Macaca fascicularis: one gene and its partner. Each later gene encodes a partner of the first gene's protein in a complex. Links are inferred from orthologs where the notes say so. Each region holds a gene or a part of one and is shown on either strand. Other genes may lie near its edges. The genes, in order: CTSK and CST3.

The links.
Region 2: the proteins of CTSK (region 1) and CST3 are in contact, whole or in part, in a crystal structure (PDB 8V57), measured with the Mus musculus proteins. The link is inferred for Macaca fascicularis from reciprocal best matches to the Homo sapiens genes CTSK and CST3. Residues at the interface, in NP_031828.2 of Mus musculus: Asn132, Gln133, Gly134, Gln135, Cys136, Gly137, Cys139, Trp140, Glu173, Asn174, Tyr175, Cys177, Gly178, Gly179, Gly180, Tyr181, Met182, Ser248, Ala251, Ser252, Gln257, Phe258, Val274, Asn275, His276, Ala277, Ser297, Trp298, Ser301, Trp302; in NP_034106.2 of Mus musculus: Pro27, Arg28, Met29, Leu30, Gly31, Ala32, Pro33, Gln75, Leu76, Val77, Ala78, Val80, Asn81, Tyr122, Pro125, Trp126, Lys127, Thr133.

What each region holds. Positions count from the first base shown.
Region 1 is NC_088375.1:110,431,125-110,447,163, forward strand, and holds the start of CTSK (cathepsin K), read left to right. Parts: upstream 1-4,870; 5' UTR 4,871-4,915; intron 4,916-5,720; exon of another isoform or gene 5,721-5,952; intron 5,953-6,269; 5' UTR 6,270-6,270; coding exon 6,271-6,390; intron 6,391-6,852; coding exon 6,853-6,975; intron 6,976-7,060; coding exon 7,061-7,216; intron 7,217-8,831; coding exon 8,832-9,050; intron 9,051-13,664; coding exon 13,665-13,830; intron 13,831-14,096; coding exon 14,097-14,202; intron 14,203-16,039. Other genes in the region: ARNT (aryl hydrocarbon receptor nuclear translocator), read left to right, coding at 1,045-1,134. UniProt on the Homo sapiens protein: Thiol protease involved in osteoclastic bone resorption and may participate partially in the disorder of bone remodeling. Displays potent endoprotease activity against fibrinogen at acid pH. May play an important role in extracellular matrix degradation.
Region 2 is NC_088384.1:63,662,235-63,678,804, reverse strand, and holds CST3 (cystatin-C), read right to left. Parts: upstream 7,687-16,570; 5' UTR 7,595-7,686; coding exon 7,352-7,594; intron 5,127-7,351; coding exon 5,013-5,126; intron 3,811-5,012; coding exon 3,727-3,810; 3' UTR 3,473-3,726; downstream 1-3,472. UniProt on the Homo sapiens protein: As an inhibitor of cysteine proteinases, this protein is thought to serve an important physiological role as a local regulator of this enzyme activity.

The DNA of each region.
Region 1 (16,039 bases):
AGACTTTCGAAAATTAGAAGCTGGGAGAGAAAGGGTCAGGGAGGAGGAGAGACAGTGAAGGAAGCATGCCTGGATTTAGGTGTTTAGTTGGAAGTATATGTGAGAAGACAGAGAGGGATAAATGAAGGGATCACTGTCAGTTATTGAATATATTGCGGAAGCTAGAGGCAGTAGTGCTTGTGTCTATAATGTCAGCCCCTTAGAAGGCTGAAGCAGGGGATCATTTGAGGCCATGAGTTCAAAGCCAGGCTGAGCAACTAGCCTGATCCTGTCCCTGTCAAACAAACAAACAAAGAGTATGAATTGAGTGTAATGCATACCATTTAACCAGAACAGACAAATTTAGCACTATAGGAAGATGCCAAAGAAAGTTACTTTAGCTCATTCAAATAGCTCCACATACCCAAGTCATAGTAGCTTTGGGTTTAAAAGAGACAGAATGATTAAAAATAAAAAGTAGTGCTCACTTCAGCAGCATATATACTAAAATTGGAATGAATATAGAGAAGATTAGCACGGCCTCTGTGCAAGGATGACACACAAATTCATGAAGTGTTCCCTTTAAAAAATTATAAAAAGTAAATGAAATAGAACATACTGATTATAGCCATAATGGTCTATTCACACAATTCCTGAGGGACTGCAAGAGTGAATGGAGTAATCTTAGGCAGGACAAAGGAAGAGCTGGTTTAAAGCAAAGATTGAAAGAAAGCAAAACAGGTCTTGGTGGAAAACAAATAAGATAAGAGACTCCATATATGTCTATAGGGGGTTATATGAAATACAGCAAGCAGATTTTTCTCCCTTTGAAAATATTGGGAACTAGGAAAAGGAAAAAGGTGGAACTCTAGGAAGAAGACAGAAGGGACTAGGAAAAAAGGCTGCGATCTAAAGGAGTCAAAGTTGTTGGAAGTAAGGAAGGCTAAGAGAGCACAGCAAAGACTCGGGGTCAGGGATGGTAGTGCAGGGGAATGGTGGAGTAGAACTTGGTAAGTTTAAGAGATCAGGGTGTGTGACCCAAACTTAATCTTTTTCTTTTATCAGGAGATGCTGTCCATGCTGGGAGATCAGAGCAACAGCTACAACAATGAAGAATTCCCTGATCTAACTATGTTTCCCCCCTTTTCAGAATAGAACTATTGGGGTGAGGATAAGGGGTGGGGGAGAAAAAATCACTGTTTGTTTTTAAAAAGCAAATCTTTCTGTAAACAGAATAAAAGTTCCTCTCCCTTCCCTTCCCTCACCCCCGACGTGTACCCCCTTTCCCTTCTGGCTGTTCCCCTGCTCTGATGCCTCTCTAAGGTAACATTTATAGAAGAAATGGAATGAATCTCCAAGGCTTTTAGGACTCTCTGAAAATTTGAGGCTGGGTGAAGTTAAAACACCTTTCCTTATGTCTCCTGACCTGAAATTGTATAGTGTTGATTTGTGCTAAGATCAAGGGGCAGGTTAGAAGAACCTGACATCCACTGTTTGCCTTGGATAGTATGGCTTGTTTTTGGAAAGAAATTCTGAAGAGAGTGGAGGAGAGGAGAAATGTCCTCATATTTGAGGACCATGAAACGTGGTAGGTATATATGGGGCTTTAGCAAGTGAGCATAGGCTTTTTTTGCTGCCTGTGAGCAATCCCTCTGGAAAGAAATGTAAGTGAGAGAGTGTGTATGTGTGTGTATGTGTATGTGTGTGTGCGCACGTGCTTCTGTATTTCACTCTTTCTCCCTATTAGGGAGTTATGCAAAATTTGTCTCAGATTTTATCTTTGTCTTTCTGTGTACTTTTCAAAGAGTCCTAAGGAGTTAAATCTTCCAGGTATTTTCCACTTAGTATTGCAGCCAAAGAATATTTAAATAAATGTCTTTGCTGCGCTCACATCCATGCCCAGCCAATATACAACTGTAAAGCAAATATAGAAAGTCAGCTGTTGATACGGTTGTCTGTTATCGAACACATTCAGTGATAAAGCTGGGTTACTCCTGCTTTTGGTGCTCTCACCTTATCTGGAAGATCTGCAAACATTACCTAAATAGACTGGCAAGATAAACACTTTCTGAAACCCAAGACTTGGCCATAAAGATAATGCTGCATTTTTCTGTCAGAATCACATATGATGTGTGTTCTGTAGAGGTTATTTCTGCATGGAAACTCAACTTCTTGGATTAGCCGTCCCAGTGAAAATCCTCACTGTTGGAGTGTAAACCAAATACGAAGCCCTCTTGCAAAGTAGCCTCTTTCATCCCGTACTCAAAATACCCAGTTTAGCAAGAAACTGAGATTTAAGTCTTTCGGGCCCTAAGAGGTTTTTCATCTTTGCTCCCTCCAATCTTGAGATTGGGTTTTGCTTTAGTGCAAGTATAATAATTCCGTATGATAGTTGGGGCCTGGACACCCATCTCAACAGGGTCACTTGGTAATTAACAATAGCCATATAAATGCGGATACAGGTTACTACCCTCACCGTTTACCTTCCTCAGGTAATAGTCGAAGATACCAGCTTTTTTTTTTTTAAATTGGCTTTGGCCAGTAGCTAAAGTGCAAGACTGAATTAATGAGAAGATATATTAAATGTAGTCATAGGGGACTGAGGAGCAAGGATGGCCTTGAAGAGGCCAAAGTAATGTCCATTTGCTGGGTTTCCCTTCCTTTTGTCTCCAGTCCGGTGCCAGGTAGTGGAGTAAAAAAGGAGACAGTTTATTTTTTTATTCTATGTGCACACTTACAGTATACATATATATTTATATCACAATTTATGAAACCAAAAAGTTGAGTTTCCAATGGAACCCTTGTTTTTTAATAATCGACTGTTTTTAAATGTGATCAGGACTATAATGTTGTACAGTTATTATAGGGCTTTTGGGGAAGGGGAGGATAGCGAGAAGATGCTCTGGGGGTTTTGTTTTTGCTTTTCCTTCAGGGTTTTATTTTTGATTGTTTTGTTTTCTTGTTGGCCATTTCTGTATTGCTGGCATCTGTGCTAAGCCTTACAGTGGCAAAAATAATGACATGTAGCAAAGATTTTGAAACAAAATATTTTTTTCCTTTTGTAAAATTTATTGTGTTGTGTGATCTTGATTGCGGCTTTATCATTCCTTTCCAGTTCATAAACAACAGGCACCCACAACTAGAGGAATCTATAGTTTAAGCTCCAGACATACAAACATAAGGCACATTGTGTCTTTAATTTCAGGAATCAGAAATCATAGGGTTCTGATCACACTGCACGCCTCCCCCTCACTTGTCCTCCTGATCCTGACACATTCTGAGTAACATCAGCAGGAATGCTCTGATCATAAGGTGGGGATTTTGGGGTGGGCACTGCCTGGGTTCTTGGGAGAGAGGGAAAGAGTTGGGACTTGAAAACCACCAGGGCACATCTGGATGCCTTCCCCCAGTATGTCCTCTTCTGGATTAAAATGAGTGAAATTTAAACTGTTTAAGTCTGGACCTGGTTTCCCTCTAGGAGACTATGTTGGTTCATTAGCAACATATATATATATATATATATGTTTTTTTTTTTTTTTTTTAATGAGAGAGAGAATCTCACTGTGTCACCCAGGCTGGAGTACAGTGGCATTATCTTGGCTCACTGCAACCTCTGCCCCTTGGGTTCAAGCAATTATTCTGCCTCAGCTTCCCAAGTAGCTGGGACTACAGATGTGTGCCACCATGCCCAGCTAATTTTTGTATTATTTTTAGTAGAGATGGGGTTTCACTATATGTTGGCCAGGCTAGTCTCGAACTCCTGACCTCAGGTGATCCACCTGCTTTGGCCTTTCAAAGGCTTGGGATTACAGGCGTGAACCACCGCACCTAGCCCATTAGCAGCTCTTAAAATCCAGAGGCATAAGCCTGTACTCTTGAGGGTTTATGCATTGAATCCAGCTAGAAACTGAGTCTATTACAGATCCCATTTATTATCCTTTCTATTCCAAGAAGCCTTTTTTCCTCCTTCCCCACATCTGTTTATGGAAGAAAATGAAGTTTGGGGTGTGGTTTGAGGACTCAGCGAGATTCTTATGATCTGTCACATGCCTGGATGTTGGGGAAGCATTTGGAGAAGCTCATGTGACTTGTCCTAGATTGGGGATTTTAATTGAGACAGATGATGTTTATCGGGCATCCCACCACCTGAGGGTTTTAGCAACAGAGTCACATGGGAGTCCATCAGAACTTATGGCACTGATTCAAGTGCTGTCATAGATAACCAGGACTGCTGTTTTTGGTTACTTTTAAAGACAGTTTCATCTGGACTTTCTGGGTATATCCTTCAGCAAAACCACATTAGGCTGGGAAAGCTATTCTCCTTCCTGGAAGTAATGACAACTTGCAACCAACAAGCTTACAAAAATACAAAGAATTCTGGAGCGTATGGCTTCCATTACATTATTCTTTTATAGCCTTTTATGTTCATTCCCGCATCCCAGAGGTGAGGGTCAGACACAAATTTGAAAATAGGTTTCAATGTTGGAGAGGTAAATCATAACAGGAAAGGGGTAGGAAAAGATGTAATCCCCCAGTGTTATAATAAAGATATTGAAGAAGAAGGATGGGAGAGACTAGGGCTGTGTCCTTCCTTTTACTCACCAAAAGAGAAGGTAAGCTCCTATTTGAGTCAATAGATACTGAGGTCTTGTTATTTGCCACCAAAGACAGTCTTGTGAGATTAAATACCTAGCAACTCCCTACCCTGGCACACATGCTGCACACACACACGAACACTACAAATCCACTGACTCCTTCCCTCCTCCCTACCCTTCCTTCTCTCAGCATTTCTATCCCCGCCTCCTCCTCTTACCCAAATTTTCCAGCCGACCACTGGAGCTGACTTCCGCAATCCTGATGGAATAAATCTGGCACCCCTGATGGTCTGCCCACACTTCGCTGCCGAAACGAAGCCTGACAACAGTTCCATCAGCAGGTAACATTTGCAACTTCCTAGATCTTTTAGCTTTTCATTCCTGTCAGTTCTCTAAGAGTATTAGGGATGTAGTGACTTGAGAATCACAATGAACTTTTAGCCTTTGCAGATGAAAACTGAGATGCACTTCTTAGATCATTCCCTGGCTAAATAAAATCTGCCTGGAAGTCTGTAGAATTCCTTGTATGATTTATATATATATATACATGGTTGTAAGTAAAAGCAAAGTATGTAGGGAATCATTTGCCTATCCTTCAAGGGTGGCCTTTCTGCAGTGTTTTCTACTTTGGCCAACAAGGATCAAAAGGGTTAACTCCCTAGTGAGGAGGAGGAGGAGAGTGGTATGGGGAGGTGGTAGCTCAGTGCTTCCTGTTTGCTGAAACATCTCAAAGCCCTTAACACTCTAACTTTTAAGTGTCCTACTGGACATTTTGCCAGTTTGAAAAAATTACATGTAAATGGACTATAAGCAATTGTGTAAGCCATATGACATGCTGCAAGCTGCAAATTGTTCTTAAAATGGAGGAGTTGTAATTAAGCAAGCCAATGCAAGAAATGAGTGAAGCTAGCTAAACTTATGAAAAGCTGTGAATTTAATAATCATAGAACATTGCTTTTCAGTCTGAACATTCTTCTAACAAACCTTGGATCTGAGGCTCCTTGTCCTGTGCGGCAGCCACAGTGGTTTTTTGTTGTTAGGGGAAAAATAAAAAACCTTGCCCGCAGCATCTGGTTAAGATTAGGGCAGTTTCCTGCCTAAGGAGGGAGGGGAGAGCAAAAGGAGGAAGAAATGCATAAGGAGAATGAGGAGATAGAAAATGTCTCAGAAAACAGGAAACATTGTCATATTTTCCCTTGTCCTCTTCTGACAAGATCTGGGAAAGTACCAGAATTTAGGCAAGAAAGAGAAAAATGCCTCGAAGAAATGATCAGGAAGCAAAACTTAGATGGAAATCTCTCCTTTGTGTATTCTGAACCCCACTACCACCTTGCTCTTTATCTGTCTCCAAGCCTGCTGAGGACCCTGGAGGAAACAGGCACTGAGCCCATTCTGATTGTCCAGTTTCTATCCTATTTCTGGTTGTGTAAGTGTGTGTTTTTGTGTGAGAGAGAGCGAGAGACAGAGAGTGTGTGTGTGTTGGTTAAATCTCCCGAGAGAGAGAGAAATGGCTACATCTGCCTAGATCAAAACTTGGAACCAGATGTACCAGCACCCTATCTAAACACAGGTCCCTCCTGACTATCATTGATTTATCACCCTTTCTCTGTCTACCTTCCTCTTCCTCATAAAGCCTAGTTTTCCTTGGTTTCCCTGCCAAATGGAAGAGTTTTCCCTAATTACATTCTTCTGCAGGATGTGGGGGCTCAAGGTTCTGCTGCTACCTGTGATGAGCTTTGCTCTGTACCCTGAGGAGATACTGGACACCCACTGGGAGTTATGGAAGAAGACCCACAGGAAGCAATACAACAGCAAGGTGCCTGGGGTCCTGAAGGGGGCATGGCAGGAGGGCTGAGACTTGAGCTCTCCCATCTTAGCTGCAGACTCCCTTCTTCAATCCAAATGCTTTATTCCTAGCAAATCAGTCCCTCTTTCCTAACTCACGTTAACATACGGTTTTCATTCCTATGCTTCAAATCATCCTCTGTCAAATTGTATCCTACCTTTGCTTTATAAGTGTGTTACATTTCTCTTTTGGGAAGATTTCTAAGATTAATGCTATTCATCTATAAGCATTTTTTCTGTCTCTCCAGAGCTTTGTGTTGTATTTCTTTACGTATTATCTCTTCTTGCAGGCCTTAATAATTCCATGGTTAGTTCCCCAACTAAACTGTAAAGTTTTATGATTGTGAGTTTCCTTTATTCTCCTAAAACCCTTCACAATATGACATATGTAACTGTACACGGTCTATACAAGTACTGACTATGCTTTGTTTAGGTGGATGAAATCTCTCGGCGTTTAATTTGGGAAAAAAACCTGAAGTATATTTCCATCCATAACCTTGAGGCTTCTCTTGGTGTCCATACATATGAACTGGCTATGAACCATTTGGGGGACATGGTAAGTACAGCCTCAGCTCCTGTCCCACCTGCACCGTTTGCTTTAGTTCCCTGCTGATGCCTGGCCTCTTTCTTCTTTGTCTCAGACCAATGAAGAGGTGGTTCAGAAGATGACTGGACTCAAAGTACCCGCCTCTCATTCCCGCAGTAATGACACCCTTTATATCCCAGACTGGGAAGGTAGAGCCCCAGACTCTGTCGACTATCGAAAGAAAGGATATGTTACTCCTGTCAAAAATCAGGTACTCTCCTTTCTTCTGGGTGTGCATATGTAATCTGGCATGACCTTTTCCTTTTTCTGCTGCTTTGTTCTTGAGGTGAAAGGGCACCAGGAAGAGAGGGCAAGGGATTAAGGTACATCTCCCCATTCCGTTATTTAACCTCATTTGTTTCTGTACATTTGGGTTGTTTCTGGTTTTTCTTTTTCCTTTCCTTTTTTTTTTTTTTGAGATAGAGTGTCACTCTGTCGCCCAGGGTGGAGTGCAGTGGTGCAATCTTGGCTCACTGCAACCTACACCTCCCGGTTTCAAGCGATTCTCCTGCCTCAGCCTCCCGAGTAGCTGAGGTTACAGCACGCACCACTACGCCTGGCTAATTTTTCTGTTTTTATAGAGATGGGATTTCACCTTGTTGGCCAGGCTGGTCTTGAACTCCTGACCTCAGGTGATCCACCTGCCTTGGCCTCCCAAAGTGCTGGGATTACAGTCGTGAGCCACCGCGGCCTGGTTTTTCTTTATTACAAATAGTGTTGCAGTAAGCACCCTTGTGCATATATTTTTGTGCACATGTACAAATATTTATGCAAAACAAGTCCTAAAATTGGAATTGCTGGGTCACAGTCCTTTCCCCCCGCAAAAAATTATTATTATTGTTATTTTTTTTTTTGAGACAGAGTCTCTGTCACCCAGGCTGGAGTCCAGTGGCGCAATCATGGCTCACTGCAGCCTCAACCTCTCAGGTTCAAGTGATTCTCCAACCTCAGCCTCTGTAGTAACTGGGACTACAGGCACATGCCACCACACCCATCTAATTTTTAAAAAATTTTTTGTAGAGACAGGGTTTTGCCATGCTGCCTAGGCTGGTCTCAAATTCCTGGGCTCAAGCAATCTGCCTGCCTCGGCCTCCCAAAGTGCTAGGATTACAGACATGAGCCACAATACCCAGCCCCAAAAAGTTTTTGCAATCTTACATTCTTACTAGCATGAGAATGTCAGTTTTTTCACAACCCAAACAACACAGGATTGTATCAGCAAGATAAACAATTGATTTAACGTTCATATAACAAACACTTTTTGACCCCCAGAACCAACCAGGTGCAGTGTTAGGCAGCAGAGATTCAAGATGACTAAGACACAACCTGTGTCCTCAGGAAATCTCAATCTAAAAAAACAGAATAGGAAAGAAAGAAAAACCTACAATCTAGCTGCATGAACAATAATAGCTAATACTTCTTGAGATTTTATTGTGTGTCAGGAACTTCTTAGCTCTTTACATGACTTAAATATTTTAATCTTCATAACAATATTTTATACATAGAGAAACTGAGACACAGGCAAGTTTAGTAACTTACCCAGGGTCACATAGCGACTGGGTGGCAAAGTCAGGGTTAGAACCCAGGACAACTGCCTCCAAAGCTGGTACTGTGCACTGCTTTACTGTAGCTAATAGTAAAAATGGTAGCAAAAATCAATAGCAGTAGAACAATGCATCAGATGTTAAGGGGAAGAGAAAGACTCACAACAAAGACAACATTTGTGCTGAAATTTTTAGAACACATGGAATTTCTTCAGGCAGGTAGAGAGAAGATATAGAAAATATAAACAGCAAAGATTGATAGTTTCTCTGTATGCCTCTCAGGGTCAGTGTGGTTCCTGTTGGGCTTTTAGCTCTGTGGGTGCCCTGGAGGGCCAACTCAAGAAGAAAACTGGCAAACTCTTAAATCTGAGTCCCCAGAACCTAGTGGATTGTGTGTCTGAGAATGATGGCTGCGGAGGGGGCTACATGACCAATGCCTTCCAATATGTGCAGAAGAACCGGGGTATTGACTCTGAAGATGCCTACCCATATGTGGGACAGGTGAGATTGCTCCACACAATTATACAGCTCTGTCGGCTCCTCCTTCCCCAGCATGATATTTTGTACTAGAAACAATTCCAGAAATACTGTTTTCTGTTACCCTACCCTGCTTTCTTGATGGAATAATTTCCCACAGAAGACTAAGAAGATTTCCACAATCTGGGGGAACTTAGGGAGCTTAAGCTACTATAGTTCCTATTTGCCTCTCTGCCATGGAGAGAAAATAGAGGCTAGGCCACCTACCCCATAGACTTCTGAGCAGGGTTCTATAACCCTTTGCTCAATTCCTCACTCCCACAACAAACCCACAAACCCACCATGCCATTGTGTGGCTTTATTTTATATGATCTCAGTGTGAGTTTTCAGAACATTTAAGGAAGTTATGTAAGTTTACATGCTAACATGTAAAAAATGAGAGAAAAAACAAGTTGCTTCATATTAGAGATAAGGGATTAATTCAGTTCCTCCTGCATGATCCTCTAGTCATAGGAAGGAAATCGTATCTGAAAGGGAGGCAACCTGAGGGTCTTTTTATACACATAGGGCTGGGACTGATAGATAATATAATGTGGGGCCTTCACAACAGAAACCTCTGAAATAGGCATAGCAAGTTTGAGAATAAAAATGATGGCTACTGTGTTCTAAGCCATGTCCTTAGTGCATTTTTTCTTTTTCTTTTTTTCATTTAATCTCATAACAACTCTGTAAGGTAGACTTATCTTCAATGTATATGTGAGGAAATGGACACTTAAGGAGATAAGACACTGTAATTCATACCAGTAGTATGTAGCAAAGGTAAGATGTATCTACTAGGGATGTTTATCTTTAGCAAACATTCCTAGGTATGTCTCCCATACACATGTGCAAGAATTTCTTACTAGGATATAATGACTTGGAACTGAATTGTCTGGGTCTTAGGGTATATCTATTTTCAACTTTACTACATAATGTCAAATTGTTTGCCAAAATATTTGGAAAAATTTATACCTGCAATGTATAAGAAATCCCATTGAATCACCTTTTTATCAGTGTGTTTATCTGGCCATTTGCATTTCTTCTTCAATGAATTAACTGTTTTTATCTTTTGCTCATTTGTTTTTCTTTTTATTTATTTGAAACAGGGTCTTACTGTGTTGCCCAGGCTGGAGTGTGGTGGTACAGTCATAGTTCACTGCAGCCTCCACTTCCTGGGCTCAAGCAATCCTGTCACCTCGATCTCCCAAATAGCTAGGATATAGGTGTATGCCGTCATGCCCACCAATTTCAAAAATCGTTGAATTTTTTTTTGTTGTTGAGGCTAGGCATGGTGGCTCATGCCTGTAATCCCAGCATTTTGGGAGGCTGAGGCGGGAGGATCACTTAAGCCCAGGAGTTCCAGATCAGCCTGGTACAACATAGCAAGACTTCATCTCTACAGAAAATCTTTTTAAAAGCAGCCAGGTATGGGCCGGGCGCGGTGGCTCAAGCCTGTAATCCCAGCACTTTGGGAGGCCGAGATGGGCGGATCACAAGGTCAGGAGATCGAGACCATCCTGGCTAACCCGGTGAAACCCCGTCTCTACTAAAAAATACAAAAAACTAGCCAGGCGAGGTGGTGGGCGCCTGTAGTCCCAGCTACTCAGGAGGCTGAGGCAGGAGAATGGCGTGAACCCGGGAGGCGGAGCTTGCAGTGAGCTGAGATCCGGCCGCTGTACTCCAGCCTGGGCGACAGAGCGAGACTCCGTCTCAAAAAAAAAAAAAAAAAAAAGTAGCCAGGTATGATGGCGTGCACCTGTAGTCCTAGCTACTCAGGAGGCTGGTTGGGAGGACAACTTGAGCCTGGGAGTTCAAGGCTGCTGTGAGCTATGATCATGTCACTGCTCTCTAGCCTGGGTGACAGAGTGAGACCCTGTCCCGAAAAACAATAAAAATTTTTTTTGATAGAGACATTGTCTCACTACGTTGTCAAGGCTGGTCTCAAACTCCTAGGCTCAAGCAATCCTCCCACCTCCCAAAGTGCTGGGATTACATATGTGAGCCACCATGCCTGGCCTACCTCTTTTTTTTTTTTTTTTGAAATGGAGTTTTGCTTTTGTTGCCTAGGTTTGAGTGCAGTGATGCGATCTTGGCTCCCTGCAACCTCCATCTCCTGGGTTCAAGCGATTCTCCTGCTTCAGCCTCCTGAGTAGCTGGGATTATAGGCACCCACTACCATGCCGAGCTAGTTTTTGTATTTTTAGTAGAGACAGGGTTTCACCATGTTGACCAGGCTGGTCTTGAACTCCTGACCTCAGGTGATCCACCCGCCTCGGCCTCCCAAAGTGCTGGGATTACAGGTGTGAGCCACCGTACCCCACCTCTTACCCATTTTTAATTGGGTTGTTTTTTCTCTTTCTTAGCAATTCTTAAAAGTTTAAAAAGACTATTTGGATACCAGTACTATGTATTTAAAAGTTGAGGTTTGTCTTTTCATTCTCTTTATGTCTTTCAATCTAGAAAAGTTAATTTTAATATAGTAAAATGATTAATTTTCCTTTGCAATTTTTGCAATGTGTTTTATTCATTTATGAATGGAGAAAGGTAAGAAAAAACAAAATTTAAAAAAGAAGAGATCTGGCCAGGTATGGTGGCTCACACCTATAATCCCAGTACTTTGGGAGACTGAGGCAGGCAGAGCACTTGAGGTCAGGAGTTTGCGACCAGCAGGGATAGCATGGTGAAACCCCATCTCTACTAAAAATACAAAAATTAGCCAGGTGTGATGGCATACACCTGTAATCCCAGCTACTCGGCAGGCTAAGGCAGGAGAATTGCTCGAACCCAGGAGGCAGAGGTTGCAGTGAGCCAAGATCATGCCATTGCACGCCAGCCTGGATGACAGAGACTCTGTCTCAAAAAATAAAAAGATAAAAAAGAAGAGATCTGATAGGGCAGCAGCCAGATAACATTTTAAAGGGATGGTATTATAAGTTTGTTCCAGCTATAATGCAGGTTATTCTGACTTTAAAGTATCATCACATAACATCTTTTTTTTTTTTTTTTTTTTTTGAGACGGAGTCTCACGCTGTTGCCCAGGCTGGAGTGCAGTGGCGTGATCTCGGCTCACTGCAAGCTCCGCCTCCCGGGTTCCCGCCATTCTCCTGCCTCAGCCTCCTGAGTAGCTGGGACTACAGGCGCCCGCCACCGCGCCCGGCTAATTTTTTGTATTTTTAGTAGAGACGGGGTTTCACTGTGGTCTCGATCTCCTGACCTTGTGATCCGCCCGCCTCGGCCTCCCAAAGTGCTGGGATTACAGGCGTGAGCCACCGCGCCCGGCCCATAACATCTTTTTGAGTCAGTTTCCAAGATATTCTGTTTCACTTGTAATTCTGTGTAGTTTTTGGCACCAGGAGGCATCAGGGATTTGGAGCACATGGCAGAAACAAAGGCATATTGAAAAATATCAAGGCAGTAGACCACTGTAATCTTAAAATAGCACAGCAAATGCTATTGCTGTTAATATTTAGATAATGTTAGATAACGTATTTTTTTAGAGGATATTTCACTATCTTACACAGGCTGGAGTGGAGTGGCTATTCACAGCATGATCATAGTACACTAAAGCCTCAAACTCCTGAGCACAAACAATCCTCCTGCCTCAGCCTCCTGAGTAGTAGATAGTATATTCTTGTGGATGCAACCTTAGGGTTCTGAAGGGGTAGTCTGTAGGAAAATGAATTGCTGAAAAGAATACACCACCTTGACATGGGCTATTATTCGATTCCATAATTGTGGCTTCCCAATGAAATATTGCTAACTACCTGTAAAATATAGTGTTGGAAGTCATAGGCTAAATTGCTAAGTTCTTTAATCTATTTTAGCGTCATGTTATGTACTTTCATATTTCGTCTTTGATGAGAGCACAAGGATCACACCAGTTCCCCTGATATAGGTGCAGAGGGCCCAGGTCTTCCCTCTAGCTAAACCTTGACCTTGGCCTCCTGTCCACACAGAAGCTGGTGCCTTCCTGCCCCCTGAGGCTAATACATACTATGTGGCCAGAAGATGGTTTATGCTTTTAAAAAAAATCTTATTTCAGAAATCTTTCCCTACTGTTTTACAGGTTTTCCTCCCACATTTATGTCTTAAAACACCTGTAGTTGATTTTTTTTTTTTTTTTTTTTTTGAGCTGGAGTCTCGCTCTCACCCAGGCTGGAGTGCAGTGGCACGATCTTGGCTCACTGCAAGCTCTGCCTCCCAGGTTCACGCCATTTTCCTGCCTCAGCCTCCCGAGTAGCTGGGATTACAGGCACCCACTACCGTGCCTGGCTAGTTTTTTTGTATTTTTTTTAGTAGAGACGGGATTTCACCGTGTTAGCCAGGATGGTCTCGATCTCCTGACCTCGTGATCCACCCGCCTCGACCTCCCAAGGTGCTGGGATTACAGGCGTGAGCCACCGCGCCCGGCCTGTAGTTGATTTTTATGTGTGGTGGAAGGCGGGAATCCTCTTTTCATATTCTTTTTTGTGAGGAAGAACAGACCCTCTCTAGAAACCCTAGACTGCTGCATCACTCAAAATATTGGTTGAGTTTCTCACTCACTGACTCATTGCCTATTGCTTTGTCCTACTTCTATTACAATCTTGTTTCTTCCAGGAGGAGAGCTGTATGTACAACCCAACAGGCAAGGCAGCTAAATGCAGAGGGTACAGAGAGATCCCCGAGGGGAATGAGAAAGCCCTGAAGAGGGCAGTGGCCCGAGTGGGACCTGTCTCTGTGGCCATTGATGCAAGCCTGACCTCCTTCCAGTTTTACAGCAAAGGTAAGAAGCTGCTGATCCTATAGATCACTGTCTTTTATGATACAAGCTTGATGGCTTCTCGAAGGACCTTGGGTATTTTCAGTACTAGTTTTTGTATTCAGATGGAGGCAGCCAGAGAGAAATTAATTGCTGCAGTACGGAGCAGCATCTCTGTGGTAAACCCTCCTGACAGGGATGGAATTCTACAGAGAGTCTCCTGGACTGGGAGATCCCACAGGGTGACCCTTGGATTGCATAGAGCCTCACACTGATAGTTTGTATTCTAGGTGTGTATTATGATGAAAGCTGCAATAGCGATAATCTGAACCATGCGGTTTTGGCAGTGGGATATGGAATCCAGAAGGGAAACAAGCACTGGATAATTAAAAACAGGTAATGATGGGAACACTACTTTTGTTATTCAATCACCCTTTTAACACTCAACCTCACCTCTAGCTTCCCGATATTCCTTTCTCTGTCCCAAATCAAGAAAAAATTATCTCAGGCTTCTCACTTCTATCTTCTCAGTCAGAGGCTCTTAATTCTGAGTCCAACACTTAATGGCCAGTGTGTTAGTCCATTTTGCATTACTACAAAAGAATACCCGAGACTGGGTAATTTATAAAGAAACGAGGTTTGTTTAGCTATACGAAGCATGGCACTAGTATCCGCTCAGCTTCTGATGAGGCCTTGGAGCTTTTTCTCATGGCAGAAGGCAAAAGGGGGAGCAAGCATGTCACATAGTGAGAGAGGGAGCAAGAGAGAGAGGGAGGTGCCAACTCTTTAAAGAACCAGCTCTTGCATGAACTAATAGAGTGAGAACTCACTTATCACCAAGGCGATAGCACCAAGCCATTCATGAGGAATCCACTCCCATAACCCAGACACCTCCCACTACACCCCACCTCCTACATTGGGGATCACATTTCAGCATGAAACTGGGAGGGGACACACATCTAAACCATATCCGCCAGACAATAGTGCTCAATTATGTGCTGGGCACATACTCCCTGTGTGCAAGATGCTTAGTGACATACACAAACCAATGAGCAGGTGACACCTTCAGTGAGCTCAGAGCCCAGTAAGATAGACGTAACTAACCATGAGATAAAGCAGTACAGAGAATCAGCAGGAGCTTTGAAATTACATATTTTTACTTTCTTTTGTCTCTAATATGATCAGTTTCTTAGGGTGGTTTCCATTAGCAGTCTGTCTTTAACAACAGGGCAACAGCGTAAAGGTTTAATACTCCTTTGAACAGTTTTTTCCCTTCAAGATACACTTAGGATACACGTATATAAGAACTTGCCAAAGATTGTGAAGAGAAACATTTTTTAGAAATAAGATATAAACAAAAAAAGTTGGTGTTTACTTTCCTGTGTTGGGGAACAAAGAAAACTCCAGGGTACCTTGTTTTCCATTTCTCTTTAGCACCTTGTGACTTTTGGGGAGGGGCAGATTGATAAGAATTATAGTTTTCCTTTCCTGGCTGATCACCATTAACCTGGCAGCAGCACTGGCTAAATCTGCTGTCCTTAGTGCCCTCCAAGGAACAGGAGCCCTAGACTCTGGGGAGCTCACAGACTCACGCAGTGGTGTTGTTCAAACCTGAAGCAACTTTTTATATCACAGTTCCAACTCAAGATGAACCTGAGCATCTTCCCAAGTCTCCCACAGCTTCTGTCCTGTGTTGTCCCTTCTCTTGACTCCCAGCTCTAAGCACTTACCCTGTTCTTTCATGATCAGGTGCCATGTGTGGAGATACTTCCAAGAGAGCTGGGAGGAAGAAAGGACATACCCGGGCAGGATCAGGAACACTGGGGGCCCCTAGAGAAGGGGAGAGTGGGGATAGAGTACAGGTTTTAAATAAAATGTATTGGGTAATTAGAGAAGTTGCTGCTTGGGGAAAGAGGACTGAAAACAATTCAAGAAGATATACAGACAGTCTCTCCTCTCTCCTCTTTCTCTCTCCTGTGTCTCACGTCATCTCTCATGTCTTCTAGTCTCGCCACTCATTTCCTTAATAATCTCATCTACTCTCATAGTTTCATCCATCTCTTCTATAGGGTTTACTCCCCAATCAAAAGCACCAGCTACAGCCTCTTTCTTATGCTCTAAACTTACATTTTCAAGATTAATCTTCCCCAAATACAGCTCTGATCATATCACTCTCCCACTCAAAATCCCTTACTGGCTCCTCCACTATGATGGGTCACAGAGTAAAGGTGAA
Region 2 (16,570 bases), on another chromosome or scaffold:
CTCCCTACTCTCCCTGCCGTGTCCCCTGCTCTGGCTTTGCAGGGTGCTGGCCTTGGGGCTACTGGAGTGGATCGTCTTCCTGGGCCTCATCTCTGCAGCTTCACCCTGGAGTTATGGGACAGGGCTGGTGATTTGCTCTCTCTGCATCTTTCAGGGAGGCTTGTGGCCTAGTCTGAGGTCACTCCCGCCAGCAGTCATAAGCCAGCTCCCCTCTGTCTCACAGCATCAAGGGTGGCAACATCCCAAGCCTCTAAGTCCTTAAAAAACCACCAAGGCAGAGGAAAAAAAAACAGGCAAAATCAATAGTTTTCTATTGAACTATTAACTAGTCTATCAGCAAAGACTAGAGGTACAATACTTGGAAATATTCCTGACCAAAATATAAAATATCCAGGATTAAATTTCACAGAAAATACAAAAGATGCATAAAATTTACTCTCCGAAGACCATCAGAAAAGCAGGAATATATTGCAAGATGCATGGTATTCTAAAATGAAAGACTCAAATGTTCAACGTTGTCAATTTTTTTTCCAAAAAAATATATTTCTACTTATTGAACCTGAGAAAACAGTTTCATTTGGAGGAACAAATACATTCAGAAAACAAAATTTTGGGGGAATAAAGAATAAACAGAATGGAGAATGGTTCTTACCTAAAAGACATAAAAATATTGTATTTAAAATGGAGTAATTAAAAAAAATGGAAAAGCACAAGGCAGATTTAGGACTGAGATCATGAAACTGACCTATGGTTATGGAAACTTGCTGTGGGCTGTCAATTGGAGCGGCTCTGGGAGGTCTCTTGTGGAGGCTAAGGCCACTCCATCTTGGATGCCAATGCTGAGCCTCAGTTCCATCAATGCTTCTAAGATTTCTATTTCATCTGCTGTTTGCTGCAAATCCAGCCCTTAGGTAAATTCCTTCTGAAGCTCCTATACCCTTTCCCCTATGGCACAGAAGCCCAGGGTCTGGGTAACGGGATGGGGACCCACTGTCTTGCGGCCACGCAGGACATGGCTTCTGCTCGCTAGTCCCGGTTACAACTTTCTTTCTAAGAAACTAGACTTGTCAGCCTTTCTTTGGCCTCTCAGCTCCCTTGGACTTTGAGGGCAGGCGTGTGCAGGCTTGCCATCGAGGAACACCCTGCCAGCCTGACCGTCCTGGGGATAGGGATCCTTCTGCAGAGGCTGGCTTCCTTCAGGGCAAGAATGCTAGGGAGCTCGGAAGCTACTGGGCCCTTCCTGATCCCGCCCTGATGCTCACCAGCATCACAATGCAAGAGGTGTCAAAGCACCATGTTATAAAGCCACCGGTGTAGAACCAGATCAATGAAAAAGCCTCTCCAACTTCCTGTTTATTCAGAGCCAGGCCCTGTAATGAATCTATTCATATGGATAACTGTAGGTGAAGTATATACTTAAACCAACTTTTAAAATAAATGTAAAAGTAACTCTTGGCCGGGCGCGGTGGCTCACACCTGTAATCCCAGCACTTTGGGAGGCCGAGACGGGCAGATCACGAGGTCAGGAGATCGAGATCATCCTGGCTAACACGGTGAAACCCCGTCTCTACTAAAAAATGCAAAAAACTAGCCGGGCGCCGTGGCGGGCGCCTGTAGTCCTAGCTACTAGGGAGGCTGAGGCAGGAGAATGGTGTAAACCCGGGAGGCGGAGCTTGCAGTGAGCTGAGATCCGGCCACTGCACTCCAGCCTGGGCAACAGAGCGAGACTCCGTCTCAAAAAAAAAAAAAAAAAAAAAAAGTAACTCTTGCAGATGAAAGGTGCAAGGGCGAAGCCTCCTCTCCAGGATGTGCTGGTCACAGTAACCTCTGGGTCCGAGGGGCTTCTGGCTCACTGGCCTCATGGGGCTCCAAGGGAGGCATTTACAGGCCTGATGGCTGTGGAGGAGACGCAGGGGTGGCACCAACCTGCTTCCCTGTCGGCTGTGGGCCATGGGGCCAACGGCTGGAGGGCAGGGAAGGGAGGAGACATACAGGGAGATTGGGGAGTCCTGTGTACAGCCCCCACCCCACCTCAACTCCCCCAGGGAAGAAGTGTGTCAGAAAAGGGACTGGGCTACACAGTCAGCTGTTCATTTCCACTGTGTGCCTGGATGGTCATTGTATGTGTCATAGGAGATCCTTTACCCAGGTAGAAAGCCAGGAGCACCTCCCTGCAGGGACTCTTTACCCCTGACCCCAACCACCACTTCTATCCCCCAATCCCCAACAGAAAACTGAGTCACTAAGTCCACCCACCCCCAGCAGAGTGAGACCAGACTCAAGTCTCCTCAGCTTATGGCCTCCTAGGCATTGTTACACTTTCCTCACCCCAAATACCCTGTTAAAGCAAGTCAGGGTGGAGAGGAAATGGAAGCAGATGCTCCCCACTCTCCCCGCCGTGTCCCCTGCTCTGGCTTTGCAGGGACAGCATGTCCTTGGGGCTACTGGGGTGGATTTTCGTCATTTCACCTTCAGTGTTCATGGCAGTGGCCAAAAGTGGGTGTCAGTGCAGCTTGGAGCTTGGAAGGTACCTGGGAGCCCTGCCCTAGCAGCACTGGCTGTGAGGGCTGCACCCCTGTCCTGAAATGGCAAAGGGAAGGACCATGCAGGGTGGGCTGCGTCCTAGGACTGTAGCCTCCTGCTTGTGGCAAAGATCCACTATTCTATAGGATGATGCTGACATGAAGGGAATGTTCTCTCTTAATCTTTGGAAAAAGAAGAGTCCACTGCATTGTCAGTCTCATTTGTGCTTTAACTTCATCCCTACCATGAAGCTGGACACAACTTGTTTTAAATCCAAGTCCAGAGAAAGGGCTGGTGGCCATGAGCCTGTAAAACTCTCTGAGGACACAGCCTCCCAGTATGGATGACAGCAGGTGCTGCTTTCTCTGGGTGATCTTGCCGGTCTCTGGCCTGGTTGACATTTCTCCCGCTCAGTTACACACATAGGCTTTTTGGACTTTGTTTCCATGTAGGGGCCTAAGTCTCTTGGAAAGAAACACACATCGATCACTATCTATTTAGTGTCTAGGGGAATGATGAGAGCAGCTCAGTCCCTGGAGTCTGCTCAACTCTGCAAGCACAGATGGAACCTACGGCCTGGCGAGCTCCACCGAGGCCTGGCCTCTGCCTGTGGACACAGCCAGCCCCCTCCTCCTGGTCTGACCAGGAGCTCAGACCAAAGCGCCAGCCCAGCTTCTGGGGTCAGCAGCCTGGGCACCCTGCTCTCCCTGAACCCCTCACCAGGGGCCGCTGTGGCTGAATGCCTGGGTTCCCAGCCCCGGGCTGCTCTCTCCTTGCTCTGAGATTCAGGTCTCCTATAGCAGCAGCTCCCCTGACAGCCTTGCTGTGGCTGTGTCAGCTCCCAGGTACTCCTCTGATCTCCACACCAGCAGGATGAGGCGGCTTCATAAAGGAACTGTGGAAACCCTGCCTGTGTGCACATCCCCAGACAGCCAAGAACTCAAAGGGAGCCGATGCTACTGTTTTATTGCAGGAGGTGGGGGCGTGTCACCGCGCACAGGGGCTGTGAGAAGCAAGAAGGAAGGAGGGAGGGTGGAGCCCCCTGCTGAGTAACAAAGGCCGCCTGCTGCCTTTTCTGTCTCCTGGCGCAGGCACATGGGGAGACCTTCCCGAGGACGGGGGCCACCAGTCCAGGGGTGGGAATACAGGGGGTGGGAGGTGTGCGTAAGAGGTGATAGGCACAGGCCAGCCTGGTACAGACTCCTAGGCATCCTGACAGGTGGATTTCGACAAGGTCATTGTGCCCTGCCAAGGCACAGTGTAGATCTGGAAAGAGCAGAATGCTTTCTGTGAAAGAAAACAGAGGGGACAATCAGTGTGGGTTACAGTTCAAAGCGGAAGGTGCCCAGGCACAGGACATCAGAGTGGGAGTGAAGGATGGAGGTGAAACACTGGCCCTTACCTACCCCTCCACCCACCCTTGCTGATCCCAGAGCACTGCTGGACTCGGCAGTGACTGCTCCACCCCTCTCCCAGGGCTCCAGCTCCACCAGGTGGCACTGGGCCACCACCTCAGCCTGCAGGATTCCTGCCCCAGCACAGCCCTATGAGGAGCGGCCTGTGCAAGGCCTCGGGAACCATAAGGGTGCAGAGCAGGGGAAGGCAGCTCACTGTCCCCAGCTCCTACCACCTCCAGCACCCAAGTCAGCACTAAGAGGGGCCAGAGGGAAGAAACCAGGGAACTGGCAATTGCAACTCATAGTGCTTGGAGTGGTAAGGAGATGGACAAGGAGCGTGTGACTCTCCCCTGAGGAGAGACGCCACAAGAAATCCTGGGTCCTTGGAGAAGCTGGTGTTGGGTAAGCTGGGGCAGGTCTGAGGGTTTGGCTGCTAACAGGCCTCTAGTACCCTCTAATCTGCTCAGCGTGGCTGTGGCTGCGGGCACGTGCCTGAGGCTGGGGTTAGACAGAGCCGCTTCTCTGTGCGCAGCACCCAGCCCTGCAGCTGCTTCCTACAGTCCAGCAGGCAACACTCCAAAGCACACAGGGTGGGGCTTCCAGTACCCCCATTCCCAAGCTAAAGCCCTCTTAGCAAATCAGATTCATCAGCCCTCTCCACACCGCCTCATCTACACACACATAGGCCTCCACATGAACTCACCCCAACCCTCACCCACACGGATCTATGCATGAATCCACATACTCCCTCACACCTCTACCCACATGCACACACACAGTGCAGGCACTTCCTCATACAGCATGTATGCGCACAGAACCCCCACACATATGTGCACACGCATGCGCACTCACACACCCACACACATCCGTGCATAGACCCCCACACCTCCCCAAAACATCACACACCCACTAGCACACACTCATATAACCTCCCCACACAAACCTATACATGGAAACACATGTGCATCTCCATATGTACACACACTCAGGCACACGCACACATACCCTCCAGAACATGTACATCACATACACACACACACACACACCCCTCTGCAGTGTATGACTGGCCCTGGACCCACATGAGGCACATACCCTCTTCAGATGTGGCTGTTCATGGAAGGGGCAGTTGTCCAAGTTGGGCTGGGTCTTGGTACATGTGGTTCGGCCCAACTCCACGTCCAAGAAGTAGTTCACCCCAGCTACGATCTACACATGTGAAAGAGCAGGAGGCAGGGACAGCACGCTCTGTCAGTTTCTTACACACACAGGCACTTCACTGTGACTGGGTCACTGGGCTTGCCTGGGGCTTCAAGCCTACCTTCACGAGCTACCCACACTGTCACTTGCAAGGCACACAAGCCACCTCCTCCTGCCAGCTGGCAGGGATGCCATGCCCCAGGCTTCCCTGGTAACTTGTTTTCTCTATGCCAATGCCAAGGATTAACTGAATTCTGCTACCTATGACCCAGGGGGCAGGGACACTGGATCTATTCTAGGAAGGCTCTCATGTGATGATGAAATTTTGGCAAACTTCCAGTTCCTGGCATTCAGTCCACAGAGCATCTCATTCCTCTCATTTAACCCAGAGGTATTTTTCCTCATTTATCAATAGGAGATGAGATGCTCACATACATTGATGTTTTAGGCCAATAAACTGCTTCCCACATGCCTCCATTCCAGGTGTGATTTTGGAGGCAGTATTTCCAAAGTGAGTCTTACGGTTGCAACTTCAGAAGAGAACTGAATGCTTTCCCTGCACAGTGCCACCCCCAGACATGACTTGTGAGAACTGTGGAGAAGCATGGGATGAGGGACCCTGAGACCAGGGTGCTAGACCTTGCCCTGTGGAGCCACACACAAGTCCTGTAGAACCACATGCAAGTCCTGTGATCCCTCCGGTGTCAGTCTGCTGCTCTGTAAAATAGGTTCCAGGGTCCTACAATGCCCCGTGCTTCACTCCCAGTGAGAGAGGGGTGCAGGCCAGCGGGGACCCTACACCAGGGAACAGGGAGAGGACCCCAGCTGACGGCTGCAGGAGGAGAAACGGGGCTGGTCTAGACTCCTCTGAATTTCCAACAGAAGGTGGAGGAGCTCTAAAGTCTGTGTCACTGTTTGTTGCTCTGCCATGGGATGCAGGTCAAGCTGGACCTGGTAGCCCTACTGAAGCTCCCCCCCCGATCTGACCCCCTACTCCGCTCTGCTGGGTGACTGCTGTCCTCATCTGGCTGAGGTCTAACTCTGCATCAGCTGGTAGAAGCAGGGTCAGGCATGCTCCACCCCAGCAGGAATTCAGCTGCCCTGGGCTGTAGGGGGTGGTCATTCGGCCTGAGGGTGAAGGCCCCTAGTCCTAGAGGGCTGTGCCCAGGGGTGTGACTTGGGAAGGGAAGCAGGGCTCTGCAGGACAAGGAGCCAGGCTCAGGTGTGGCCCCTATGGAGAGGACTCCGGGAGGAAGACGAGCCTCATGGTCTGGATCTCATCCTGACCAGCACCAAGCCCACCCAGAGTCAGCACAGTCTCCACCCACACCTGCTGGATCCTGGGAAATGGCACGGTCATGGTACAGACCCAGCGGCTGCTGCAGGTGAAAAGAGGCAGAGGGGACAGGACAGGGCTGAACTCATGTACTCCTGGCCCGGGAGCGTCCTAAGGCATGAAGCCCGTCAGCAGTCAGGGAAAGCTGAATGAGTCTGAGCATTAGACCATGAATGTGTCAGTGCTGATTTTCAAAATGGAATCGTGGTTATGTGAGATACTGCCCTTGTTTTAAGGAAAAACACACTGAAGTGTTTACTCTCAAAAGATTCAGGCAAAAAAATGCATATACAGTACATATACACACACCCATATTCACATTCGGAAAGTGAGCTGGGGGAACAAACGGCAAAATGTTAACATCCGTGCTAACATCTGAAGGATCTGGGTGAAAGATCTACAGGGATGCCCTGTACTATATCTGCAGCTGCTCTGTAAGTCAGAAATTATGTGAGAATAAAAAGTTAAACTAAAGTGTTTAAAAATTATTTGGCGGAAGAACAAGGAGGCAGCCAGATGAGGGGCTCTGTTTTTTCCTTCTCCTGCGTATTCAGCAGCGCACCCGGAGCCCCGCGTCCCAGGAGGCCTGGACAGAGTTGGGTGGGACGTCCTGTGCCTGCCCCCGCGCTGCGGCGCCGCTCGAGCTGGCGCCTGGAAGCAGATCTCAGGCGCCGGGCGCGGACCTGGCGTGTCCTTGCGGTTCCAAGCCAGACAAGACTCGGGGCATTCCCAGACACGCCCGCCAAGGGCTCCAGGGTGACAGCGAAGACCGGGAACAGGGTCTGGGTGAGAAGCCCAGGTGCCGGGGGAAGGAGCAGCCCCGGGGGTCCGGGAGCGGCGCGGGGCAGGCTGGGGCGGCGGGGCCAGGGTTCGGGACCCTGCGGGGGGCGGCACGCACCTGCTTGCGGGCGCGCACCACCTGCAGCGCGCGGCTGTGGTACATGTCGTTGCTGGCTTTGTTGTACTCGCTGACGGCAAAGTCCAGGGCACGCCGCACACCCTCCTCCTCCACGCTGGCGTCCATGGGGCCGCCCACTAGGCGCGGCGGCTTCCCGGGACTTGCTCCGGCCGCGGGGCTCACTGCCAGAGCCACGGCCAGGATGGCCAGCAGGAGCAGCGGGGCGCGCAGAGGCCCTGCCATTGTCGGCTAGGACGCGGGACACGGAGAGTGGGGCGCAGGCGAGAGGCTTGAGCTACTGACAGAGGACCCAGTGCGATCCCGAGGCCGTGAACACTGCGGGGCCAGCGGCTGCGCTTTTATCCCTTCTGGCCTTCCCCGCCCCTCGCGCCCTGCGCTTCCTTTTCCGGAACGCCTAGTCCCTCCCGCTTCCCCTCTCCCTTCCCACCTCCCCTACCTCTCCCCGCCTCCCGGTCCCTCCCTACCAATCTCCTCCCCTCCCTGCCTCCCCTGCCATCCTGGCCTCCCTGGCCCTCCCCATCGATCCCCTTCCCTCCCCATCCATCCCCTCTCCTCCCCTCCCAGCCCCTCCCGGCCTCCCCCCTCCCTTCCCGCCTCCCCCTCCCTTCCCGCCTCCCCCTCCCTTCCCGCCTCCCCTCTCCCTCCGCTCCTCCCCTGCCCCCTAGCCTCCCTGTCCCTCCCTATCCATCCCCTCCCCTCCCCTCTCCCTCTTCGCCTGCTCTCTTCCTCCCAGCCTCCCCTGCCCCTCCTATCCTCCCCATTCTTCCCCATCCATCCCAGACCATTCCAGCCTCCCCACTTCAGGCCCCTCCATGCTTCCCCTCTTCAGGCTCCTTCTCCTCTATCCGTTTCCCCTTTCAACCCCCAGACACCGCCTCCCCTGCCCCTCCTCTCCCTCCTCCACTCTTGTCCTTGCTCCCACTTCACCCCCAAGCTCTGCCCTTCTTTATTGCCCCTCCCTTGTTCCACCCCTCCTCTGTCTTCCCTTCCTACCCACCCCTGGCCTCTCCCTGTCTCTGTCCCTCCTATCCTCTTCTTTCCCCTTTTCTAACTCCACTCCTGGTCCCTCTTCCCCCACCCCTTCTACACCCACGCCCCCCTCCTACCCACTCCATCCCCTCAGCTCCATCTCATCTCATAGACCTGTCCCTCCTCCCAAGCTTAGGTCACCCTGCCTTCCAGAGAGGTGTCAAGTCCCCCTGAGCCCTAAAAGCATGCGACCCCCTAGCTTCATTTCCTCAGAAAAGGGAAGGATAGAGGTCTTGGCCTTCCGGAGTCGTCGGAGGTCCCGAGTATCCGCGAGCATTTGGTCAAGGTCTAGAAATCACTGAGGCAGAGATGTGATTCCAGAGGCTGCAGAAGACTCAGGCCATGCCCTGTGCTAGGGGACTTTTCAAACAGAAGAATTAACCTTTATTTGAGTAAAAAACTCTGGGTTCTCCTTTCACAATTCCTTATTATTCAACAAACAGACTTGTCACCAGCTTCCCCCTGCACCAGGTGGTGTAGGAACTAGAGACGGAGCCTGGGTGACCGAGCCGTGGACACAACATTGCAGGGCTGCTGCCAGACAGAGATGTGACGCAAACCTGGGAGCAATTTAAAACTTTCTAGGAGACACATTTCAAAAAGTAAAAAAGAAACAGGTGAAGGTAATGTTTATAATATTTCTTACTTAACCCAATATATCCAAAATATTATTTCAACACATAAGAAGAATCATTAATAACATAGGTTATTTTATTTTGGGTGTGTATACTGAGTCTTTGAAATTCCCTGTGTATTTTTTACACCTAGAGTGGGTGTCAATTATACTGGCCCTATTTCAAGCGCCCTGTGGCCACATGTGGCTGTGGCACTGCACAGCCCAGCATTAGGGTGTGTGGGAGGATGGCGAATAGTGATCAATAATTAACATCAGGAAATTAGTCTCTCTGTTGGAAGTGAAAGTATGGGATAGAAAGAGGTGATGCCACTGGACCTGGTCAGGGAGGTCTCTATGAGACTGGAACGGTGACAAGCCCTGCCTACATGGGAAACAGAGCCCCGGGCAGCAGGAAGGGCCAGTGCAAAGGCCCTGAGGTGGGACTGGGCATGCCTGCTCCAGGAAGAGGAAGCTCCTGGAGGGGGTGTGAGCAGGGAAGGGAACGACCTGGAGTCTCATGGTAACTGTGGGTGGGGCTGGGTGGAAGGTGCAAGGAGACCCCTGGCAGGCAGTGGGGGTGTCAGGAGAGGGAGCAGCAGCTGCGGGATGAATGTGGGAGCCCACGGGTGTCTCTTGCTCCTCCCCTCTGGGCATCACACTGCCGGCGCTGGTCCTCTGCACTGCTTGGAAAACTCACCTGAGTTTAGAACATCGCTGTGAATGAGGTAGAACTTACAGACAACAAAATGTCTAATATGGGGGATTTCATTAATGCATATACCCGTGTTACCACTTTGTCCAGACCTGTGACGTCTGCCTTGCCCCAGATGGCGTCCTTCTGCCTCTGCAGCTCACCCTCATGCCCACCACTGGCAGACCCCATCTGGCCCTATAGACTCCTTTGTTGCCTGTCCTTGAGCTTCCCAGGAATGGAGTCCTGCAGAGCGAGCCTGGGTGTATCTTCCTCCTTTGCTCAGCGTGGCTTTCTAGAGGCCCCTGAGTTGTTTCATGGCCAGGACTGTGAGTTCTCCTTCTCCCCAGACTGAGAGGACCTGATCAGCAGGGTGCCCTGTGGGGTGACAAAGTCCCCAGCTCGGGATGCTGCGGGCCTGGGCTGGAAAGTGACTCCAGGAGTGGGGAGGGTGGAAGGAGGCTCTGAACAGACAGCTGTTCCCTTTGTTGTCTCAACCCCACCCTCCACGCCTGAAGGTGACCCTGTGGCAAATGTCCTTATGGCGAGGTGGCAGCTTGGCCAGAAACACCAGGAAACCCTGGGCCTTTGCAGGGCACCCAGAGGACTCTCCTGGAAGTGGTCGAGGTGAGGGTCGGCAAGGATCAGCCCAGACCTGCTGTGATCCTGGGGCTCGGCCATGGCTGGGGCTGGATCAGCAGGAACCCGGCAGTGGGAACAATATTACTCATGGGTGCTCACGTTCAGTGGTAGGACAGGGGACCTTGTTACTTGAGGTCTGTTGACCATCTCACCCCACTGCGAATCTAGCACCCTTAGAAAAGCCATGCAGCCCAGCAGATACAGCAGGTGGCCCAGGGATGGTGGTTACTGCTGGGTGAGGGAGGGAAGGTCTTCAAACAGGGCTGCACATATGCCTCCTAGTTAGACAGGACGTGGGGAGAGATTCCCAGAGAGGGAAAGAGAGGGCAGCCCCTGGCCAGGTGCTTGTGAGCAGAATGGTCATCTCCCAAGTATGGGAGTTGGTTCTTCTCTGTGGCTCCCACCTTCCCTGACCACTGGGGCTCGAGTCTCAGGAGGATGTGTTGTGCAGAGGGTAAACTGAAATACACACAAATCCCCTGTCTTTTGTCATTAGAAAAGAGGTGCAGGTCACCCAGATAGCAGGAGCATGGTGGTAGGTGGGGTGTGAGGTGGGAGCTGGAGTGCTAGCCTATTTCCCTGTATGTGATGCCTCTGCCAGTGGTCATCCTCTGTCAGGATGTGCCCTGCAGGCACCTGCTGCAGGGAGAGTCAGCTGGCCTGATGCAGCGACCTCTCTAACCCTTGTAGGACAGACACCAGTGTAGGGTGCTCTCAGGAGCCGCAGGAGCCATGTTCAGTATGCTGTAGTAGGAAGTGAAAGGTTACAGTAGCTGGGCAGCTGCTCCTGATATTTGGTGACCTTGAGCAAATGTTTTGCCTTCTCTGTGGTCATGTGTCTGAAGAGGTGGGCTGCCTTGTAAACTGTTGTGCCTGGGCATCAGTGATGATGTTTAAACATGATTAAAAGTGACAGAGCAGCCTACAGCTTCAAAGACATGCTAGCAGAGACACAGAGAGAAACAATGGACCTAGGACTGAGCCTGGGGTATCCAGCACCCGTGTAACTTGGAGGAGTCCAGCTGCCAAGGAGGGGGCATGTTTCTCTTCTGCCAGGTGATGAAAGAGAAAACCATGTTCTCCCAGGCTGCCTTTTTGATTATTGATCCCATTATCTGAATTAGCACAGTGAGAAATTGGGTAAATGGCAGAAATTCTCTGTAATAAATAAGCAATAATAACAACACTAAACAATGCTATAATAAATAAATGACCAAACACATAAACAGCACCTAAAGGTGCTACTGGTTAAATCAAGTTGGCCAAGAGTTGAGATTCTGCACTTTGGGTTTTGAGCAATTAGCACTCAGTGTCTACAGTAGGAGCTTGGACTAAACAGCCACAGGATTTGGTCGCTTCTCAAAGCCGAAGCCCAGGAGCCTTCTTTATGGAGTGCCCGGAGTTCTCTGGGGTCAAGCCTGTCCCTTACACACACGCTCCCTCCTTGTCCCCTCTCTCTCCCCAACAATGGAGGACATGCGGATGCTTGCCTCTAGACTGTGGGCCAATGTTGGTAATGCATTTGGCTCCAATAGAGATGATGCCACATCATTAGGAAACTGATACGCACAGGAAGCCTGCTGGCAGCCTTGCAGACAGAGATGAGAATGGGCAGAGCCCAGTGTCTGCGGTCTGTTTTGCACTTCATGGGGGGATGAGAATCCTTGGGACATTTCTGCTCAGGAGCCAGTGTGTAAACGGTGCTCATCGTTTTGGATTATAGGGTTAACATTTATTTTCTCAAGGAGTGCATTCACCAGAGCAGAGCCAGTGACTGAAGAACCGCATCTGAGTGGAAGGGAGAGAGAGAGGCCTCCAGGGACACAGGCTGCTAGCTGGTGCTGCCAGGGCTCCACCTGACTCCCTGTAGAGACCTGGCCAGAAAGAAAACAGATGGCTCTGAGCGGGTTGAGCAATCCCTTTGGCATCTCTGAGTGGTCAGTTTCCTTTCTAGATCCACCTTCTTGTAACCCTTCCCTCTTAGTGTTTCTGCAGCTTTGAATATCCGTTCCTTTAGCAGAGTTCCGTAACCTGGGAGAGTGATTCCTGTTCCTGCCCAGGATCCTGCTAAGCTGACTCACTGGGTGCTGGAGCTGGAGACCCAGGCCTCCTGCTGCATCTTGTCAGAATCCTGCTAAGTTAGTTCAGCCAGCACTCCCTTCCCTTGATGTCTGCTTAGTAACTTTCTACATGCCAATATCACTCCTCCACACCATGTTCCTTGGCTGTAAATCCCACTTATTCTCGTTGTGTTCAGGGTTGAGCTCTATCTCTCTCTTACTGCAATAGTGTTGACCCCCACTGCGACAGTCTTGAATCAAGTCTCCCTTACCATTTTAATAAGTGTCTACGGAATATTTTTTTAACAGTAGAAGCCAGCGAGGCCAAAACTCTGCCCTACCAGAAAATCCTGTTGCCAAGTAAGAGTAAGGGGCTTGGAGGACTAGAAGCAAACAAAGAATGGGAAGAGTGCAGATGGAGTGGGGGTGATGGGAAAGGGATGGGTGTAGGGTAAGGTGGAGCTGTGGGGGTGTGGCATGTGTTTCCCCCTATAGTTTATTATGAAAATATTTAAACATTCATCAAAGTTAGAGTAATTTTACAGCAAACACCTATCTACCCACCGCCATGATTCTGTCATTAATATTAGACTTTAATTTTTTTCTCACCTGTCTACTGCTCTGTCCCTCTAAACATCCTCAATCCGTCTTTTTAAAAATGCATTTTGTAGTAGGTTGCAGACATTAGTATACTCCACTCTTAAACACGTGTTAGTATGCATATCATGAACTCGAGCTCATCATTTATTTATACCTTTTTCATTTGTTATAAAATTTACCTATAGTGAAATGCACATATCTGAAGCATACATTCACTAAATTTTGACAAAGTCACACTCTATCAGATACAGAGCATGATCACCCCCCAGAAAGTTCCCTCGTCCCCTTTTCCAGTCAATTGGGGGCCTCATTTCTGAGACAGCCACTGCACCATGCTTCATTCACTATTGATGAGTTTTGTTTATTGCAGAAGTGCATGCAGACAGATTTTTACATCATGTAGACTTTTATGCTTGCCATTTTTTCACTCAGCATGATGTTTTTGAGATATATCCATGTTAGACAGCATATTCATACATAAGTCTTCGATTGCCACACATGAGGCTCCTGACACTCGCAGCCCTGGATTTCAGACAGCATTTGCTGAGGAGGCAGCTCTAGAGCACTTGGAGCTTTTGCCACTGCTTCCCCTTTCTCCTTTCTAATCTGGACCAACTGCCCTGCCCTACCCCCACTCTCCCTGCTCCTTCTCTTTCATCTCTCTCTTTCTCCTAAGGTTACTTTGACTTTTTGCTCCAAGCAGAATCTAGAATGGGGAAAAAGTGTCACCATCAATGGAGTAAACCCAGTTTTCGAAGATAACGAACAGATTTCTCCAACTCTTCTCCATATTTGAAAATAAAAGTTCTTGTATTTTTAGAATCAAATTTATACATGCTCATTACAAAAATGAATAAGAAAATGAATAAAAGTGTAAGAAAAATAAATTACATGTGTGCATGTGAGTTCGTGTGCTTATGCTTCTGTGCATGTGCCTGTGTGTGTACACATGTGTGCATGTGAGTTTGTGTGCACATGCTTCTGTGCATGTGCCTGTGTGTGTGCACGTGTGCATGTGTGCATTTTCACCAAAATGAGATCATGTGGTGGTTATAATTTCATGTTGCTTTTTAAAAACTTCATTATGTCATGAACATTTTTCATATTGTTAAATTGTCTTTGAAAGTTTTGTTTCATTTCCTATTCTGAGTATCCCATAGTTTAGGTGTTAATTTTTTGCTAATGGTAGACTGTTAGGCTATTTCAATTTTTTTTCTAGTATGAATAATATTGTGATACACACTCTTACAGAAAAAAAAATCTTGGTGCATAGGTTGTTTTCTTCCCAGAAGTGAAATTTTTGAGTCGGGGGCTACAAAGTTGTTGTTGTTGTTGTTGTTGTTGTTGTTTTAATGAATCTTGAAAAAAGACTGCCAATAGCTCTTCAGAGAGATACACTGCCTCAGTCAGGTCCAACTAGCCATGAGGCAGTTCTAGTGGCCAACTGCAGCAGTCTGTGCTTTATCTTAGGTGTGAATGTTGGTGAGTGTAACTGTCCTCAGTTGTCATTGCTGGGCCTGAGACCATGGGTGGTCCTACCTAAAGGGCAACGCTCTTTCTAGGCATCGTTTGCGTCTGAATCACATCATGGTAGACTCATCTTGTTCTTACTGATCCTTTATAATAGGCATTACCTTTTTCATTCTTTCACTTAGTTTAGTAAATATTCATTGAACACCTACCATGTGAGATTCTGACTTTAATGAGGTAAAAGGTACGTTTGTGCTTTCAAGAAGTCCTGGGTCTGTAAAGAGAAAGCCATCTAAACAGATATTTCAACACAGCGTGGTGCAGGTCATCACAGGACACTAAAAGGTGCAGACACCAGTGCCACAGCTCCAACCCCAGGGGTCTCCTGAGGCACATCGGGGGCTTTAACCCCAACGCTGCACGCATGTCTCCAGCATGGATGTCTCCAGCATGAACTCCTGATGAACCTCCAAGTCCATCTCAGTGCCCTTCTCCTGGATGGCTCCAGACACTCCAGGCCACCCAGGCCTTCAGCTGCATGTGGGGCCTACCCCTCCACCTCCCTCACTCCCAGCCTCTCCTGCTCAGTAAGGGCTGCTCCACCTTTCTGGTTGCTCAAGCTAAAACCTGGAGTCCCCCTTCACCAACTTTTCTTCTCTGATTTATCAGGGAATGTTGCCGGTTCCACCTTCAAAACACATCTAGATGATCTGTTCACTGCCTTTACTTTCATGGGCACCACTGGGCCAGACCACTGCCAGCTGTAGGCAGCATCTGACGGGTAGCCCCAGCAGCCCATGCTCACCTCTGAAGCCCAGGGCTCCTTTTACAACCTCAATCGAATCACACTACTCTTCTGTTCAAAATTCTCAGGCCACATGTGGCTCTTGAGCACTGAGATGTGGCTGGCACATTTGTGGTTTCATTGAATATTCATTAGCTTAAGTTTAAGCCACATGAGGCCTGTGGCTGCTGTGCTGAATGGTGAAGTTCTAATGGTTTCAATCTCACTCAGAGTAAAAGCCAAAGACCTCCCAATGGGTTCACAAAGCCCTCATGATCTGCCTGCCATATTCTGACCTCCTGTCTTACTGCTCTTCTTGCTGCTCCTGGAAGGTACGAAGCATACTCCTGCCTCAGGGTCTTTGCACAAACCGATTCCTATGCCTGCAGATCTGTGGTTCTCTTCCTCACCTCCTTCACTCTTTTTATAAAGGTCAACCTCAAAACAAGGAAACATAGAGCCAGTGGAAGTAGCACCAGAAACGTCCAATATCAGGCAGGTAATGGTTAATTTATGTCTAATTTATTCAAGAAGAAAGATTTTATGAAAAGAAGAATGAGTGTTAGCCTGAGTCCCCTCCTAGACCATGACTCCTTGCCTGTGGGGGTCCCTAAGTGGGCCCAAACATCCTTGGCCACACAGTGTAACACCTGCACGCTTGTAACTAGAGCAGTTGTGGCCACATGTCTGTGCATGAAGCACTCGTGGTGATTTTCAAGATAAAGAGGAAGTAAGTGGAAAATAGCTATTTGGGAAGGCTGGAATATGGGCCAAAGAAAACAGTATAAAATTAAAGCATAGAGTAGTTTTATCTGGGGGAAGAGAATGAATGTATCATGCTAACATATATGTCTAATGCATTAACCTGGTTCAAGTTAACTTGCAGGAGTGAAAGAAAAATAAAATACATAATGAAAATGAAAATTTTTGTTTTACTTTCATTTATTCCTTCTCTAATGCTCTCGTTTTCTTCATGTAGATCGAATTTTTGATTTATATTGTTTTCCTTCTTGGAGAACAAGACCCAAAGTGATTCATAGGCAAGTTTGAGAAGCACTGTGTCAGGTGCCTGAGGCATGGCACTGGGTCATAAAAGCTGGTAAAGAAAAACAATTCTGTTCCCTAAATTGCAGCTATAGTAACCACAGGGACAGAATTCTGAAACAGCAAGGAATGGGCGGTTAGGATTCCTCAGACTCCTCTACTGCAGTGTCCTTCGCTTACTGGCACTTGAGAAAGGAATGTAGTAGTAGAGTGTTTGAGACTGCATTTTTTGCCTTTACTTTTTGAGATAGGATCTCACTCT